Linked DNA regions of Arabidopsis thaliana. The protein of the gene in region 1 interacts with the protein of each later gene in a biochemical or structural test. Each region holds a gene or a part of one and is shown on either strand. Other genes may lie near its edges. The genes, in order: MYC2, JAZ5, JAZ11 and JAZ10.

Evidence for each region.
Region 2: the proteins of MYC2 (region 1) and JAZ5 form a complex in vitro, tested with the Arabidopsis thaliana proteins (one study listed by BioGRID).
Region 3: the proteins of MYC2 (region 1) and JAZ11 form a complex in vitro, tested with the Arabidopsis thaliana proteins (one study listed by BioGRID).
Region 4: the proteins of MYC2 (region 1) and JAZ10 form a complex in vitro, tested with the Arabidopsis thaliana proteins (2 studies listed by BioGRID).

What each region holds. Positions count from the first base shown.
Region 1 is NC_003070.9:11,797,564-11,803,030, forward strand, and holds MYC2 (Basic helix-loop-helix (bHLH) DNA-binding family protein), read right to left. Parts: upstream 3,845-5,467; 5' UTR 3,351-3,844; coding exon 1,479-3,350; 3' UTR 781-1,478; downstream 1-780. Other genes in the region: AT1G32630 (FAM50A-like protein), read left to right, coding at 379-780.
Region 2 is NC_003070.9:5,954,644-5,959,377, forward strand, and holds JAZ5 (jasmonate-zim-domain protein 5), read right to left. Parts: upstream 2,869-4,734; 5' UTR 2,428-2,868; coding exon 2,250-2,427; exon of another isoform or gene 2,036-2,249; coding exon of another isoform or gene 1,945-2,035; coding exon 1,854-1,944; intron 1,734-1,853; coding exon 1,410-1,733; coding exon of another isoform or gene 1,343-1,409; exon of another isoform or gene 1,243-1,342; coding exon 1,011-1,242; 3' UTR 512-1,010; downstream 1-511. Other genes in the region: UBP1B (oligouridylate binding protein 1B), read right to left, coding at 78-182. UniProt on the Arabidopsis thaliana protein: Repressor of jasmonate responses.
Region 3 is NC_003074.8:15,365,927-15,370,669, reverse strand, and holds JAZ11 (jasmonate-zim-domain protein 11), read right to left. Parts: upstream 3,125-4,743; 5' UTR 3,001-3,124; coding exon 2,894-3,000; intron 2,668-2,893; coding exon 2,583-2,667; intron 2,488-2,582; coding exon 2,385-2,487; intron 2,310-2,384; coding exon 2,252-2,309; intron 1,569-2,251; coding exon 1,472-1,568; intron 1,375-1,471; coding exon 1,242-1,374; intron 1,149-1,241; coding exon 1,091-1,148; intron 972-1,090; coding exon 896-971; 3' UTR 513-895; downstream 1-512. UniProt on the Arabidopsis thaliana protein: Repressor of jasmonate (JA) responses. Targets MYC2, MYC3 and MYC4 that are JA-dependent transcription activators.
Region 4 is NC_003076.8:4,216,951-4,221,431, reverse strand, and holds JAZ10 (jasmonate-zim-domain protein 10), read right to left. Parts: upstream 2,605-4,481; 5' UTR 2,432-2,604; coding exon 2,320-2,431; intron 2,243-2,319; coding exon 1,748-2,242; coding exon of another isoform or gene 1,743-1,747; exon of another isoform or gene 1,498-1,742; coding exon 1,436-1,497; coding exon of another isoform or gene 1,393-1,435; 3' UTR 970-1,392; coding exon of another isoform or gene 930-969; 3' UTR 519-929; downstream 1-518. UniProt on the Arabidopsis thaliana protein: Repressor of jasmonate (JA) responses. Interacts with and suppresses RHD6 and RSL1 transcription factor activities to negatively regulate jasmonate-stimulated root hair development.

The DNA.
Region 1 (5,467 bases):
AATCACTGAGATTGGTAATATATGGGTTTTAGCCTCTTAACCTAATCATCGAATTAATCATTCAGGTTCTTTGAGTATCGAACTTCTCTGTTTTCTCAACTTGAAAGCAAAGCAAAATAACATTTTTAGTTGTATCGATTAGCTAATTTTGATTCTTTGGAAGTCTTACATTTCTGGTTGATTGCTATTAACGAATCTCTAATTTGGTCCTCCTCTAGTTGCAAAATTACATTTGTGTGTGTTTTGTGTCTTCAGCTTTTGAATTAAGAAGCTTCTAGGGTTTTATAGAGCTTTAGATTCTTTCCTTTAAATGCATTACCTTATAATAGAATTTGGTTTGTTTTATCAGTGTTTTGAGTAATTGGAATTGAAGGAAAGATGAGCAATGGTGGTTTGAGCATTGATGAGAAAGAAGGGTTGATAGACAAAGATGAAGTCATGATCCGTCGAATGAAGAACAGAGAAAGACAACGTAGGTATCGAGCCAGGAAACGGATGCGGGAAGAAGAAGCGGGTAACGATGATAATCTTTCGTTTGAGACAATGGGAAAACAAGAAGAAGAAGAAGAAGAAGACGAGGGACTAGAGTTTAATGGACCTAGTGGTTATGTTGAGAACTTTGTGCGGCGGGTTTATTGCGATAGAAATTGGAAAAAAGAAGCTAGAAGAGCTCATTTGATTATGAACAAGGCTCAAGATAGTTCTTGTGAGTCGGTTAAACGGAAGATAAGGCCGCATCGTCGAGATTGGAAAGCTGAAGCTAGAAAGAAGAAAACTTGATTCTTGAGGATTGGTCAGGTTGCTAGAGGATCTTGCGAGGTGATCGAGGAAGAGAATGCACAAACAAAGCAGATTTCAGATTCAATAATCTCTTCAAGATTTCTATTTTTGTAGATATTGGAAATGATCAAGACAAAAGCAAGTGATTTGCTTTTTCTTGTCTGTGACTCTGTCTGTGTATTCGAAGATCCATGTAGTATTATACTAAGGTTTATGTGTGTTGTGTCTTATTGATTAGACAAGAGGAAACATTATCACACTGACTTAAGAAAACTGTGCATATGGTCTCCCTCTCGACTTAACTTACTTAAGATTTGTCTCTCTTCCTAAGTTTGATGTGTTAGGAGAGACATTTTTGACCATATGTACAAAATCAGTGATCATGACCATTAGTCTCTTATTTTAGACCATTTATACTCGATTTCTTTTTCTTTTTTATCATATGAAATTGTGTAGAAATATTAACTTTTTCAGTAACTAACTCATATTACTCATATCAATATATACAAGTTTACTCATTGAGGAGATACAACAATAAAACGATACAGACTCAAACATAGAGCAAAAGAAGAAACTTGTCGCTCTATTTTAAGATTTTTTTCTTACAAAACTAAAATCTACAAAATTACTGAAGCCACTAAAACGAATTAATTATGATTTGACCCCATAACTTTCTAAACTTCCCAAAACACACCCTTTTAACCGATTTTTGAAATCAAACTTGCTCTGAGCTGTTCTTGCGTATAGATCCTAAAACCCATCTTCACCGTCGCTTGTTGAATCATCAAATCGTTAACCACCGACATACTCGCGTGATTCACTTCCAACTCCAAATCCATCAACGCCGACATCAACCTCGCCGCCGGATGATTCCTCTTACTAGATTCAACTCTAATCATTGCGTCCCAACCAATTATCTTCACTTCAATCTCCATCCCCACCGGTTTAATCGAAGAACACGAAGACGACATATCTCCTCCACTAGCACTCGCTTTTCTTCCGGCGAGCTCGAGTTTCACTTCCTCGAGCTGGTTCTTGATTTGGAGTTTCTCTGACTCTGTTTTGACTACTTTGGATTTAAGCTCGTTGATGTAAGCGATTGCGTCACCGAGTAACGAAGCTTTATCCATTTTTGAAACGTTTGGTACAACCGCTCGTAACGCGTAGAATCTTTGGTTTAGTTTCTCGCGTCTTTGTCTCTCTGCTTCGACGTGGTTTAGTGGCTCTTCTCTACCGTTTGCTGGCTTTCTTCCTCGTTTCTTTGGACGTTTCTCTACTGCTACTTCTTTCACGACGGAAGCTTCTAGATCGGAGTGATCTGATTCTCCGGCGGTTTTATCTCCGAATGATAGAACTTTATCTTCGTTCAAAACCATCGACCTCTTTCTTTTGTTTTCGAATTGTGTTTGACCCGAATAAGAACTTGGATCCGGGTTTCCGGAGCTTCGTTTACCTTCATCGCCGAAGTTTAATATCTCGCCGGATCTTGGTTTCACTAAAGTAGAACTTGACGTCGAAAAATTAAGTTCTCGGGAGAAAGTGTTATTGAATTTCGGATTCTGGGTCTGAGAATGAACCGGACTCGGAGTCGGATCCAGATTCGGGTTTTCGGTTATTGTGCTTGAGCTACCGTTCTCAAACTGAATAGACTTTGAAAAAAGCTGGGAGCTAGAACTTGGAGCTCCGTTACCCGGTTCGTTAGATCCAGGTGTTCCAATCGGGTCATTAATCCACATAGACGGGTCGTTCTCACCTTGATCCGGGTCAAGATTCCAATTAAGACCCGATAAATCTCCAGCTCCGCCGTCGAAATTGAAAAGAATTCGAACCTTGTTAATAAGGTCCGAACTCTGTCGGATCGGCTCCGTTGACCCGACTTCCACAACTCCGTTCGCCGAAGGAATACACGCAATAGTATGCATCCCAAACACTCCTCCTTGCTTAGCCCGTTCACAACCCGACCCGGATAATTGATCTGACCCGGAAACCCAAACCGCGTTACCCGTTGCAAACGCTTTACCAGCTAATCCCGCACCGCAAGCGAAGCTCTGCGTCATCGAAACCAAGAAAAACCATTCCGTATCCGTCACCTCCTCATCAACAGCGTCATCCGACGGAGCAACACCACCGGAGATCAACGAGTTAAGCTCTCTCAACACTTTTTTCCTGTACTCCTGATCCGCCGGAGTAGAAAACGGCGGCGAACTCGATCTCCGTCTCGGGTTTGCTTTATCTTCTTCACCTTTGTAATAACCATCTCCCCATCCGAGCACGGAGGCGCCGGAGAAATCATACGACGGTTGCCAGAATATAGCGTAGGTCCAACCTTCGTGTGTTCCTTCAATCAAAGCTTGTAAACGTTGCTGAAGAGTCTCTTGATTAAATCCCGCCTGTGCCGGAATCTCCATCGCCGGCGTCGGAGTTGTTTCAGTCGTCGCCGTCGTGGTTGTCGTCGACGCCGGAGGCCATAAAGTTGAGATATCGGAAGAGCTCATGAAAGCTTCCATCATAGAAGCGTTGTCGTCGGTGGTCCAAAGATTCATCGTTGGTTGTAGCCGGTAATCAGTCATTCCATAAACCGGTGACCGGTAAAAAAAAACACGTTTTTAATGAGAGAGAGAGAGATAGGAGAAAGTCTTCGTAGTGGAGAAAAATGGAGAGCGTCTGCGATTATTATATGTGTAACTGATCTTGAGGGTGAATGTGTAAATTTGTTGTTAGGGATATTACGTGGCGAGATTTCATTGGGAAACGTGGATGGTTGTAAGAGAGAGAGAAGCTTCGATGAACTCACATCCCGATTTAACCCCATCGACTGTTGGATCGACGCGGTAAGAATTAAGACCGGAAGTGAGTGAGATCGTACGGCTGTTTGGTCGCACGTGTATCACACGCTCTTTAATGATTGACTTAGATTTTAACTGATTGTTTCTTTTGTACCAAAGAGTGAACTGTGAGCTCAGTGGAAAAACACTTTACTATAACTTTTCACCTATTTTTTCGATTTATATTTGTCGTTTTGTCAACTTTTAGAATATATTTTTTATAACAGATTAATTACTTATTTTATAATGTTATTTTAAAATATTAAAAATCAAAATTTAAGATTTGTAATCTCAATTATCAAATACTGTGTCTTAGCTTAATTAATTTTGAGATTTGCATATCTATATAACGTGAGTCGTTGCTAATAATTCACTAAAGCAAAAATTTGTGTTTGTCTTAATATGTTAAATTGCAAGAGAGTGAAATGCAAGTGAGAATCTCTATCTCCAAAAACGATTCTTGTCTGCTTAACTAATTAATTTGTTGACGACTAAATAAACTAATAATTTATTAATTTGACCAAACGCTATTATTAGCATATGCTTTAAGAAAGGAAGAACTCCTTTATAATATTTTTAGTTACATTCACATTTCACGATAAACACATGCTAACAACGTTATATTGTTTGTTTAATTTACAATATTAAAATTTTATTTTTAAAGTTCGAACAATAATTCAAGGATTAGGTCATTAGGTGAGTATGAGTGAATAACATAAATCATTTGGCATCTTTTCCTCCATGCATAAATTTATCACAATAATTTAGCATGCCACCAATATGGTCCCATTACTCCTAACCCTTACCTAAAAACCAAAAATAAAACAAAAAGAATTAAGATAAAATAGTATATATATATATATATATATATACTTCTAAAATTCTATCTTGCGAAGACAAATTCTTACTAACAAAACACTAAACTTATGTTATTGTGTTCTTGTAGATTTACGTTGTCTTGTGATAAACTCAATGATATGTCTTTATACGTTCAGATTAATGATACTCCGGTTGATTTTTCTTATTAAAACCATATTAAACTAAAGAGTATTTTACCAACAATAAATAGTAAAATAATTTTGGGATCTAGTATACCATTTTTTGTAAATAACAACCAAAATAACTTTTGAATATAATTTTCTGAGACATCTGTATTGGGTGAACTCGTCAATGAACGATTCAACAAACAGAAAACAACCAAACCATTGTCTGGTGGTTGTGAGTCGACTTTTGAACATGTTTACTATAAGAAAATTATGAGAAGATGTTACACTAAGTTTTGGCTAGGTGATTCGTGATATCATATTTCATGTCGACTTTGGGGGTGACGCCACTAGAAAACAACAATATCCCACTAAGTAATGAATAATTAGTGGGATAAATATAGAGATTTCCCCCCTTACTTCGAGAAATGAGATAACAAAGATGACAGTTTTCTTGTTATGTTGTTATGTTGAGCTTAGAATGGGGATGATGGAGTGTTCTGACTTCTTAGAGAAAATGGTTGAAATTTTTTAAGTAGAGAGTCGGGTTGATTAAATGAAGATCTTACTATCACCTTGTTGAAAGAGAGGGACATTAGTCGGGATTCGGGAACAATGTGGAACGTAAGATATAAATTTCCCATATGTTATTTCCTAACTGCATGAAATAAAAATATATCTGTTACCTGATCCAAATTTGTATGTGACCAATTCGAGTTATTCTTAGATTTAGAGAAATAGAGAATCATCAATTGGTGTACACTTTCGATAGATCGTCGAACATGATATAATGATCTTGATTGATTTGGCATGCTCGAATAGCTTATACAATGTGTTACATATGTTAGGTTAATAAGTGACTAGGATGACCTTGTAGAA
Region 2 (4,734 bases), 5.8 Mb from region 1:
ACCAGTGAAATCGAGCTTGGGAAAAAGAGCCTAGAAACCCAAATCGAGCATGGAAATGGAAGAAGAATAGAGCAAACCTGTGGCGGGGCAAGGAGACCAGGATGGTAGAGAGACTGTTGCTGCATAAGAGCTTGCTGCATCATAACTTGTTGCTGCTGCTGCTGCTGCTTCAACCTCTGCATTTTCTCTCTCGGGGAAAAAATTATTGTCTTTGATTTTGCTTTTCGTTCCCAGGTAATGAAAATTGACACAGTGTTCTGTCTTTTAGGGTTCGAAAGTGTTTTCGGTGTTCGAGAAAAATGTAAGAAAAATGACAAAATATTAATAACAAAAAAAAAATGAAGAACAGGAAAAAAAAAAGGAAGTCTCTTGATAGAAAGCGAAGGAAGCAATCGAGTGGCTCTTACGAATTTTATTGGATTTATTATTTTTACACATCGATTAGCTAAAGTCACAGGCTGTAAGAAAATTTAAAAAGCAACAGCCAATGAACTCGTCCCACGTTAAACTTATGGCTCAGGCCCAATCACTGTCCAAATCAGACACGCCTTCAATGAACTTGAACCTGACAACTAATTACAATAAACACCCCTGAGTTTAGTGAAAACTTGATATACACTCCAATAATAATCATTTTCATAAATTACACCCTAAATAAATTAGAAAGGAGCTCTGATCACTTTCAACCATCTTTACCCGCATTACGATTGCAGTCAGATTCCTCTTCATGTTATTGCAGTCAGATCAATTCACAACTCCTAAATATTCTTCCTCTTGTCTAATTTGCTATTTCTCGCTTAACGTTATGTAATTTAACTCCCAAGTGTTGTACGTAGTTAACTAATTATAATATAACTTTACTATCGTCTATTGTGTTTATGAATGAATATTCAAGTTAGAATAAGATTACATACTGTAGTACAAAGCAAAATAAAATCACTTAGATAAGTCAGAAAAATCGAAACGTTAATCTAAAAACTCAGTTCCTACAAGAAATTTAGCAAATATTACTATAGCCTTAGATCGAGATCTTTCGAACTTTGGCCTTCTTCAATCTTCATAATATCATCTTTATCACCGTCTGATTTGATATGGGCCATGGTTTGACCAATGGCGTTATCCGGCGGTCTTTGTGACGACTGTCCTGCCTCTAGTGGTTGACCGGTTACAATCTCTGGCTTGGGAGGATAACGATGATGACCTGCGTTTTGGTTAACTTGGTACGGAGCCCTAGCCACAGCTCTGCAACAGAAAAATTAATAACGTAAATTACGAGGCTTGTTGAGGATAATTTAGGAGAACTTATATCAGAGGGAGGATCCTTAAACTTTTGAGTTTTGAACTAACTAGAGTGATTGGAAATTTGGAACATTAAAACAAGTTTCAAAAAGTATGATAAGGTTAAATACCTGTCTTTCCGTTTAGCAAAGAATCGATGGAGGGAAGCTCTACGTGCTATACGTTCCACGATCTGATTTTGTTCTTGTTGCTGTTGTTGTTCCTTTGTTAGGTGATTATTATCAGTAGGCTCATTGAGATCAGGAAGAACCATGCTGCTCTTGTTGTTGTTGTTTTCGTCATTGATTGGTGTCTGAATGTTAATCTCAGTCACAGGCTTGGCTTGTTTTGCTACTTCCATAATCTCTTTAGCTTTGTCTACGGGGAACTCATTATATACTAAAACTTTCCCTCCGAAGAATATGGTCAGCTGCGAACTTCCTGGCTGTGATTCACTGCAAACCAAAAACAGATTTCAGAACAAAACCAATTTTAACCGGATTAACCGATTATCCTTTTCTCTAATCTCCAATAACCAAAAACAACAAGTATTCCCAAGGAACAAAAGGAGAGACCTGAGGTCAGCAACATCTTTGACTTTGCCTCCTGATGAGGTAGAGGGTTCGCCTTTGGAATGCCCTGCCTTATGCATCGCATTTTGTTTCCCTGCATAAAGAGAATAAAAACTTTCGTGAACTATAATAACTTTAGAAAAATGATATAGCATCTTATATCTTTGGAATTTTATTAACCACATCTCAATCAATTTCTATATCAACTTATTCGTTATTTTTGTTACTTGTCTTCATAATTACAAGGAGAAATTATTTCTGAAGTAAGGAACTGACTTACAAATGAAGAAACAATACAAAAGTAGTAAATCTGGCAAAAGCAAGTAGTAACAGAACTGAGTTTTTAAAGTACTATTACCAAGTGGCGGCCATGAAAGAAGAAAGAGATAATAAAAGTACCTGGTGGATCGAATTTTCCGGGCAACGCGAGACTGGAATCGGGTTTTCGGTATAAGCCAAGATCAATGTTTCCGAAACTACCCTTCTCCTTCAAGTAACGGCTGAGCAAACTACATCTCCGGGTAAAGTCAGATTTCTCCGGCGCTTGTGCCTTAGCATTTTCATTGCTCGACGACATGTTGTTGTTTATTGAGAAGAAAGAATTCTCCACACTTACTTTTTAAAGATATTCTTTATCTCTTCTTTTCTTTTCTTTTTGTTGGTGCGTGGATTGCGCGTAAAATGGAAGAGTACAAGAGGCTACTAGCTCAATAGCTCATGTGTTTATAAACTCATTCACCCAATAAGTTTCTGTGACTTTAATAGCCTCTCATAAATTAATGAAAACAAAAATAAATAGGAACTTTTTAGTTTCTTAAAAATATTTCAATATATTGTGACCAAAATAGAATTAAACTTCTCAATAATAAATTTATTAACAACAACCAAAAAAACCAAAAAACAAATCTTACATAAAGCCATGAGATTATATCATATTTAGTAATATTCCATCGCATGCATTTTTAACTAGTTAAAGAACTATATCTAGTGTGAAGAAAGGAATTTTCATCCATGATTAATAGTAAGAAAATTAATGTTAATAATCCATCATTGTGCAAGTAATTTATCTATTGTTTTATGAGTTGGTACAACAAATTTATTGCCCTGTCTTATCATAAAAATATGTTCACCTCTTGTTTCTTGTTTGGCACAGTTTAGTTGTCTACCATCAACGGCCAGATTTCAAAATTGGACTACTTTTTTATATATATTTTCGGTTAGAATTTACCGCACGTTTTCCTTACGCGTAACGATAAAAGAGAAAAAGAATAAAGATTTCAGAACCGACGGCAAACGTTATTAAACGGCGTATGTCACAAATTCGTAAAAGACTCGAAATTTGATCGTATTTACAAAATTTGCCCTTCCACAAGAGCACATTACCAACTCCAGTGATGGCATCATCGTAATAGAAACAACTTTCATGGCCTTTTTTTACATCACCGCGACGTTCCTCACGTTAGTTAACAAACTTAACGGCGGTGCGAATTGAATAGTAAGTGGACCAATGTGGGATCCTACCATCAAACCCCTACGAAGTTTCATGTGCCATAAAAATTCAAAGTCTCCGATACGATCCGACAGAAGTTTTTTGATTAAAACACGTGGTTTAAATAGAACAGACCGTCAAGATTGTGACACGTATCGCAATCTGTACGACGCACTAGCAACAGTATCGTGTGAATCGCGTTTTTCCCACTTTCCTATAGAAAGAAAAAAGGAAAAATCTTAAGATCACCTAATCAGTTTGGTCAAAAATAAAATTGATGGATCAATTGACCGAACTGCCCCTTTCACGGATGCCCATAATAATCAATACGTTCGTTGGTTGCTTCAAAACTACGACTCGTTCAAAAAAACGTGTTCGGGGAAAATGATACCAAAGATATAAAAAGTTTAGATGTGACTTAGTTTAATAAGTGTTGTTGATGGGACTAAATGAAGCAAGATTAGAGCAAACCGAGTGATCGGCCAATTGATCGAACCAGATTGTCAAACCGGTTTGGTAACTCGTTACCCCTAGCTACGCCACTACACTACTTGCATTGTTGCAAAGACCAAGTGGCTGTTGTGTTTTGGAAAAAAAAAAAACGTTCTGGGGTTTAGAAAAATTGGGTAGCGAATGGGTCCTTTTGAAAGTGATATTTTTTTTTGTAGAAGAGGGGGGCGAACCCCCATTTTTATTAAAACTGAAAAAACTAAAAAAATTACACTTGAACGTTCCGGGGGTACGCAGACCCCGCTACATCATCGTGAACAATCGACATAACAATATCCGGAGTAGAATTAAACAAATGAAAACCTAACGGTAAAAAAAAAGCATAGTTAGCTAACCCATCCGCGAGACGATTAGCTTCTCTATACACATGCGAAATCCGGACTGACCAGTCCTTTGAAAGTAAGCCATGGCACAACCGCACCAGGAAGGACAGCGGATGCGAATCATCAATCCCTGTCCGAAGAAAACCCACTACCATCTCCGAATCAATCTCCATCTCCAACTGTGTGACACCGCGCTCCCAAGCGATATTTAAACCGTAATATGCTCCCCATAGTTCCGCAAGCGGAGCCGAACAAATTCCAATATTCAACGAAAACCCATAACACCAATTTCCATCCCCGTCTCGAACTACTCCACCTGCTGTAGCTAGTCTCGGGTTACCACGCGAAGCACCATCAGTATTGAGCTTAAACCAACCCACCCTTGGCGGAGACCACGCAATCAATCTCTCCTCCCTAGCTGTCCGCGTCGTCACTCCCATTTTGTGCACATGCGCCTTCCAAACATCCAACGCACGATCCTTAATAAAACGAACCCGATCCCGACACTTCTTGTTCTCGCCAAAGATGTTACCGTAACGCCATTTCCACCCCCACCATATGG
Region 3 (4,743 bases), on another chromosome or scaffold:
GTAAAATCCTTAAATACTTTAAAAGATGATCAAAGTTAAAGTTATCCCAAAATTTATTTGCATTGTTTCGTTGAATGATGTGGTAGCATTAGTCTTTGATCTTAGAGATTTGGTCTTGAAAAATGCACATATATAATTTATTACAAGTTTATACGGGATCATTTTGTAGATATATTTATGTAAATATAAAAAAAGTTAGAAAATATTTTTTTATTTTGATGATTTCAGTCGGATGATTGAGTGGTTATGGTAGCGCTACCAAAATATTTCATAATTTTGATGTTTTTATGAGTTATGATGTATAAATCATTTATAATAAATATGTTATGTTTCATCGTTTGTCATAACTTGGGCACATGTTAAATATATGTACTAAAAAATTATGCCGACCTGTTCACTTTTAGTGACCGACCCTAAATTGAAATGACCAAAAACTGGATTGGCTTGGTTTGAAAATTTTGGTTCTGGTAATAATCACATGCCTAACCAGACCTGAAAATTTTGATCTGAGGTCCCTACTAATCTCTCCGGTTAGTATTTGATGATTTCTCTGTATGTTTCTTGGTCGTGATTTGCTTATAAGGACACTAAGTCTTTCATGGTCATTTTTGAGTACTCTTGTGTTCTTATATAGCTCTGAGACCTTATCATACAGCATCAACATACATTGTGAAGAAAAAGAAATCATCTTCCTCAAAGAGGAGGTGCGAGATGATAAACACATCAAATCACAAACATGGAAAACAATTTTGTGTTTTGTCTAAGAAACATAGGCAGATGATTATCGTACAACAACGGAAGGCTTATATATGAGCTGTGTTAATCTTGTCAAAGATAACTGTGATACTGAGTTGCTTCGAAAGTAAGGTTTGAGGTTAGCTTACAGTCTTGGAGCTCATGTCACAATGGGGCTGGTTTCATTTTTGTCTGCTTCCGAAGTCGTAGCAGAGTAAGGCTTCGTGTGGACAAATCTGAAAATAAAGAGGGTCCAAGTTACTATTAGATGAAATCTAATGGTCAAACTCATAGGTGAGTGATGGAGAAAGATGAGAGTATATGTTTATAAAACAAGCACTGCAGATATGCCTACCGATGCCGTCTTTTCTCAAAAAATCTTTGAAGTGAACGTCTCCTAGCAATTGGCACATCTGAGATAAACATGCATCTTACATAAAGCTCATGGGGTTTTCCATACTCGGACTATATAACGTTTACGGTAATCCAATGTAGCAAGTCCTTACCTGCTGTCGATACGCAAGCTACTGTTGATGCGTTTGAGAATGAAATAGCTCTCTTTAATGCTGGATTTATACTGGTCAAATTAATTGTCTCAGTGGCTTTAGCTGCAGCAGCGATATGCAGAATTTCTTGAACCTATTAAGTGTGATCACCAAGAGAACAAGAAATCTCATGCAACTGCTTCCCAACAAAAACGAAATACGAATGTACTCAAAACTTGGATGGACCAAACCTTTTCAGCTGGAATACCATCAAATACGCTAAAACTCCCACCAAAAATAATGGTTAGTTGACTTGGAAGGATCATTGAACCATCTGGCTTCGTGGACCTTCAATAGAAGAAACAAGAGCTAGTTATGAATGATGGAAGATAATAATAATCCACCCAAATTTTAAGACCCTATTGATGCAAAAGGGAGAAGAACAAAATAGTGATTCCACTACAATATTACAGCCGCTTAGGCTATCAACTAACCTCAGTCCCATCAATACATCAGTTCAAACAACCTACTAAATTTAAATCATCTGATGATGTCATCTAACAGTAGATAGAAGGCTATTTTTGCATTCAACGGTACCAAAATCAAACACACAAGCCTAGTTCAAATTCAAGCTCATAAAACCGATACTAAAGAATGGGCAACAACATCTAATGTATTTGTGAGGCATGATCACTAAGAAATACACAATTATCTGGTGGCCATAAGTCAGCCAAATATGATATAGAAGTAGAATAATACATGAGAATAAAAGCTTAAACACTTGTAAGAAAAAAAACTAAAAGACTATCTCAGTTTCCGAAACCAGTCAATGTATACAAATTAACATTCACATAGATCCAGTCTCTTCATTTGCTTAAGCTTCAACAACCTACCTACACATGAAAATTCCTAAATGCAAGAACAATATTTGACGTCACAAACTAATACATACTAACAAATCAGATTCATACACACTAACACTTCCAGAACTATCAATATGTTAATAAAGCAAACACTGAATATCTAACTACCTGTCCCGTCTCTTCTCGAGAAATCTTTGAAGCGAACGTCTCCTAGCAATTGGAAGATCTGAGACAAACAGGGATTAATAGTCCGTAACTCCGTAGATAATGCTTACAGTAACCGAATGAAGCAATTGCTTACCAGCTACAGTTGAGAAAGAAAGAGCTCTGTTCAGTGCTGGATTGATACCGGTCACATTCTTCGTCTGTTTACCAGCAAAAGCGATGCGAATGATTTCTTGAACCTATTAAGCATTGATCACCAATACAATTAGAAACTCTGATGCAACCAACATAAACAAAATCAGAATGTATGTACTCAAAGCTAGATGGACCAAACCTTTTGTGCAGGGACACCATTGAAGACTCTACAACTCCCACCAAAGATAATAGTAAGTTGAGTTGAAGCATCTGGCTCTGTGGACCTTGAAACAAGAGTTTGAAATTAAACCTCTTGAGTTTCCCAAATTGATCTGCTAATTTAACAATTCATATAGATCCAAGTCTCGTCAATTGCTCACGCTCCTATAGTGTACTAAGAACTAACAAATCACAGAACTATAGGCTAAGAAAAAACTTCAAACACAAAGACAGATAAAGAGAAATGAGAATTAACGATTCAAATTGATTCCAGTTACTAGTGATACATACCTAGCTTCGTGAATCGATCTCTCAACGAGCAAGTCAAGTCCGGCGGAAACAGAACCGGTCCCGTCGGCGAAACTAGGAACGGGGAAATCTCCGTTTACCTCAGCCATGAGCCTCTCTGTGAATAATATCTGTCTTCTCCGTTTGATTGGGAATTGGTTCTCTTCTCTACGCAACGTTCGTTATTCGGTGTATTCATTATTCAATCAATTTTGTTTTCTTTTTGTTTTTCTCAGAAATATTCCAAAAAAACCTCAACTATTTGATTATTTTATATATCTAACTACTTATCTAATAAGTAATAATGCCTTACCAAAAAAAAAAACTACTTATCTAATAATACCTATTTATTTTCATTTGTTCTTGTAATATAGACAACTATTTAAAAAAATAAAATAGTGGACAATTTTGTTCGATGTGAAAAACTTAATACTCTTTACGCATCCTTTTTAGTACATGCATACCGCCGTTATCGTATTGCTAAAATAAATTAAATAAGATATATTAACACAAAGCTAACTATATAATTATGATGAAAAAATCAAAATATGTAAATTAGTCGAAGAACATTGAATCATTTTGATATTGAGGAACCAAAAATTAGAAAGAAATAAGCAAAAAAAAAAGAAATAGAGAAACGATTTGGTTTTTAAAGTTTGAAAATCTAAAAAGTAAAAATATATGAAAAGAGAATTAAAAATGAGACACTCATATCATTTTTCTATGATAATTTCCAAAAAGGCAAAAACGTATAAACTAAAAAAATACAAAGTAAATAAGAAATTTCTTTTCGTTTCAAAAAAAAAAGAATTAATTTTTTAAGGATAAAACTATAATTTGTTTTTAGAGCGTATGTATAATCTGCCAATATTTCTAGTTTGGGTTTTATTTGTCACTAATAAATTAGTTTGAGTTTTTTGACAACCGAAAAAGTTGAGGTTTTTTTGGCAAATTTTAATAGTTGAAGTTTTTTTTGGGAATTTTCTCTTCTATTTAAAACTCTATGTCGTAAAAGGTACAACAGTGGAAGCTTCCACTTCACCAACAATTCAGCTTATAAGCGGAGACCCAACTTAAAAAGTCCAATCCATAAAGATACCCCTTTAAGGAACTAAGAAATATAACAAATCCAACACAAAACCATGTGTGAGCCTATGAAGTAAAGTTGAAGTAGATGTTGTCGCCGTTCGCCGCTCATAGCCGATATGGTACGAAGCGTAAGGGAACTCCAAAACTACCGAAAACCGTCAGAGCTTCAAGAAATAAGTCCACAGGTTTTTAACTAGAGAATCCTACCAACTACATCATCAAATCTGTAAAGAAAAGATCTTCACAAGGGCAATGACTCCCGAACTCCAAAGAACATCAACGTAGATATTAAGCCGATGGAGCTTTTCAGCAACACCTAAAAACAAAAAGGAAAACACTCGTGTCCATAGATCAATTAGACAAATAGCCTCAATTGTAGATCATTCGCCATCTGAGATCGATTCCAGTGAGAAAAATCATCATTGATTATAAAAGCAAGCTTGATTCTTCTAGGTTTCATTGTTCATAAACCAATCGAACATCAAAATAGAGATTTACAGCTAAAAGCAATATTAGTGTGCAATGAAATTGTTTTCTTTTCTGCAACTTAAGATGTAACTCTTTGGATTGATTCCTGCAAATCGCAAACTCAAAAGATCAAATTGGATAATAAACACCTTTAAGCAAAAAAACACCTAAATTTCCAATAGAGGATCTATGAGATTATTGAAAGAAAAAAAAAAAAAAAAACATCAGATACACTGATAAGAAAAGTAGATCCGGCCAACGATGGTCATGGAATTCGAACGCTGTCAGGCAAGAGC
Region 4 (4,481 bases), on another chromosome or scaffold:
AACATGATGTAAGTTTAGTACTCTCATTAGCCATTGCAATGTGCAAACTAAGTTTATGTCATCGCAGTAGATTAAATGAGAAGCAATTTACTTGACACAACTTAAAGAGACACGAAAACATTTTTAAGAAACTACATGTAATAAAAAAACTCTCACGTATGCACATGGTGGTATTTATTTCATATCAATAAGCTACAGTATCTTGGTTTCAATGATAAAGAAGACGCAGTGAATGGTTGTGTGGTTTTTGTTTCTTAAATCCGGACCAGCCATCCCTTTTTTGTTAGTACTAGTGATGGATACTATTCAATGAAAGGGGTAATTGTCTAAAAGAAGCCACACAAAGTACGTTCACTTTACCACTTCTTTTCATCTTCATTCCAATGTACAAATTCCACCAAACTCATGTTAAAAGACTTTTGACATAAAGACACAATTAGTCGGGTAGACTTGATAGTATTATATAACTAATACTCACGTGTTTCTTAAACTGTTTTCCATTATAACAATTAGGACAACCCAAGCTAGAGACCAACCAATATAATCAAAGATGAATGGCCACATTTCCTTTAATAATACTCTGATACGGAAGCTTCATGAGAAGCTAAAAGAGGCGTGTTATAATTTTCTTTACCATATACTAAAAAATAAAACAAAAGTAGAAGGTCACGGGATAAGAGAGAGCTTCTTAAATCAAGCTATCAATGACAATAAAGATAATAGACATTTTTAAAAACAAACCAATATATATAATCTTAGTAGGTAACGTAATCTCCTAAAAACGTTTGTCGTGAATAGTATACGATTTAGCAACGACGAAGAAGGCTTCAAAAGAAGATTGGAAATAAGCCAAATCCAAAAACGAACATGGATGTCTTCCGATTGAAAAAGACAAATTTGGTCCATGTCCCAATCTAAAAAGAGATCGTTTAGGCCGATGTCGGATAGTAAGGAGATGTTGATACTAATCTGCAAACACAACAAGACGAAAAAGAAAATGTGAAACCGCGTTTTGTGATAACTTATATAATATACAGATCTTTCTTTGGCCGTATGGTCTGATAAAAGTAAAAGTTCAAATTTTTTTCCGGTGTTTCTCCTCGTTTTCTCATCATTTTGAAAAATATAACTTGTCGGTGTAGCAAACAGAACTAGAGTCAAAGACTCAAAGTCAACGCGCTTTTTAAAAGTTCCATTACAATAGTAACCTACGTATACCGATATTACTACTGATCTCCATTATCTATCTACGTATAAGCATGTGCGTTGTTGAACAAAACTAGTTGAATCTTAAGTTGTATGTGAGAGTAAAAGAGGCAGGACCCATAATTACTATCTTAAATAACTTATAGTAAAAAAAAGGTCGAGAGAGAGAAAAATAAAAACCTTTCTTTAATTATTTGGGGGTAAAAATCCTTGGATTGTTGAAGAATCATTACCTCTCCTTGCGCTTCTCGAGAAAACGTTGCAGTGACTTTCTCCTTGCGATGGGAAGATCTGCATACACACGCATAAACCAGTTTCTTATCAGAAATTAAACAACATGTTTATACTTTTATTAATAACGTATATTAATACGTATAGACATAAACTATAGTCTTTAACTCTTTGATATCTAATTCCAAACTAATTAGCAACCAATTCCTCTCTAACAACAAACTCTTCTTAGATCTCTACATGCAATAATATGTAACTAAAATTCTAGAAGAATCCAGCACTAAGTGATTTTTATTTTTATTATACTAACCTCCTTCTAGATTCTGGCCAAAGAGCTTTGGTCTTAGAGTGGTCGGAAGAATTACCGAAAGATCTGTCTCCATCGACGACTCGTCTTTCTTAGATGCTGCTTCATTAGCGACCTTCATAATTTCACCAGCTTTGTTACGAGACACTTGGAAAACTGAAACACTTCCATTGTAGAAAATCGTCATAGGAACAGTTCCCGAAACGAGTTCGGTACTAGACCTGAGGAAAATGAATGTTTTGAAAATTTGAATTTCAAATTTTTTCGTCTTTTCTGGTAGCGCCAAAAAAGTTAGAAAGAAAAAAAAAACTTTACCGGAAAGACAAAAATACCTGGCGAGAGACGCGTGGACCGGAGAAATCGGGATCTGAGGCTGATCTTCCCTCGGAGTAGACGGAACCGAACGAGATTTAGCCGATGAATCGGAATTGTTTCCAGTGGAAGCTAACAGCGATTTGATAATCTCCGGATCGATTTTCGAAATCGCACCTTGAATATCTGCAGGAGTTCCATATGAATAAATTCGATTTATCGCAAGAAAAAAAAAAGAGAGAGCGACTAAAAACCAAACGAACCTCGGAAACTACGACGGCGATCGAGAAATTTCTGGAACTTAGGCTTAGGAGCGTTGTTGGTTTGTTTCTTCTCAAGTCCGAGGAAATCGAGTTCTATGGTAGCTTTCGACATCTTCTTTGATCTTATTAGAAAGTGAGAGAGAGATCAAGACAGAGAGATATGGGTTTTGAGATGAATAAATGGAGGAATAATAACGGATTCTGATTTCTCATGTGAGAGTTTTTAAAATGTAGTATGTCTCTGATACTTATTTAACGCACGAGGTTCATGCTTTCTCTTTCTTTTCGGCACAATTGGCAACCTATCCACTTTTTCCTTTTTGTTTTGTTTTTATTAGGCTCCCAACCTCTTCTCTTACTTATCTAATTAATTTAATGATTCAAAACACATGTTTAAATTCTTAATATACCTAATGTAATGTAATTGCTTGCTACGCAGAAAGAAGATATTTTATATCCGGAAATAACGGAAGTCCAATGAACATTGTAATGTTTTATAAAAATATATCTTCAAAAATTTGGTAACATGTTTCTGTTACTGTTCGTCACATTGGGTTCTTCTGACATTATATTTGTTTTCTACTCTAGTCTCTGATCTGTATATTTTTCTCGAAACATGTTTTTCTTTTCCATTTTTTCTTAATATGAATTTTAATCTTGCTACTACTAGCTCTACTAGTATAGCAAATCACATTTAGTAGATATCAGTCTTATTGATTTTTCAATATAAACAAAATTTGACATTACTATTCAAGAATAATATTTGGTTGACCTAATAATACAACTGAAATTTCTTACATTTCTAAACTAAAGTACACCAATAAACTTTCATCATATTTGGGAAAGTAACCAATAAAACATACAAATAGGGATTTTAGAACAATAAAATGTTGGTGGTGATTCACAGTTAGTGTTTTGAAAGAAGAAGAAAAAATAAGATTTTCAAATCCATTCAAAAAAAGATTTAAAGAAAACACCACTGCAGATGCATAAAGACTAGGTCAAGTCGGAACTTGGAAGTTTGTTTTCTGCCAAACCAGAAAAGACGGGTCGATCCTTTGGACGATGTCGATGGTTTTTCTTTTCTTTTCTTAGTTTCACATTTTGGCTGGTGTTTTTTTTTCACATGTGGCCGCTCTTTTTCTTGTTCTCTTGTTTAAAGCATATGTGGCTGCTCGTTTCCTAACAGATTTACATATTATTACATTGTTCTCAAGTAAAGTTATAGAGGGATTCAATGAACTCACGTTTTTCTTTCTTGTGAAAATATACCTTGAACCACTTCCGAATTAAATTGACCTCAATTTTCTATCTTGTGCTCAAATTTAAACTTCACCTTATTCTATCGCGCGCATGTTAGCTTAATTAGTTACATTTCTCCTTTTTACTATTTTAAATTAAAAATCATATAACTACAAAATGTAGTGATTACGAAAAGTAATTTTTTTAATTAATATTCTGAACTAATCAAATATTAAAAAAGAATTACGTATAAAAAACTTTTTTAGTAGTATATATTTGATGCCGAAAGTGAAAGTTTTTTTTTTTTTTTTTTCTTGGCAACCGAAAGTGAAAGAGTTAGATGCATGTCTTTCACGTGTTGGGAGCTGTAGTAGTAGTAGTTAATGTCAATACATATCATTATTCACTAGGCTAAGGTGCACTTCTCGATAAGTCTTTAGAGGTTTTCGTCGCTCTCTTTCATCTTCTCACGTTCCAGAGTCAATACGCCTTATTTATTCTTTTTCTTCCGATTATTTTTATTTGTGTTATCACACGTTTTGTCAGTGCTGCCGATTTTTAATGTCGATGTATTTTTCAAGCTGACTAATTTGCCCCTCTGTCCACCTTTCATATACGACCTTACCCTTCTTTTGGCCTTTAATCTCAGAAACACATATTTAACATTTTCAAATTTTTTGAATCGAATCTTGAAACGAAATATGAGAACACTAATGTATAGTGGATTTATTATATTGGATTTAACATGTATAGTGGATTCATCATTACTGTATTATCTATATTTTTTTTCTTGCATAAAACTAAATGGCCGAAACTTTAAGTCGTTTACAGCCCACACTAGTTAGTACCCTTACATAAGAATATAATTGAACCTATAGTTGAAAAGCCCCTTAAGGTAGTAAACCCATTTAGAGAAGAAA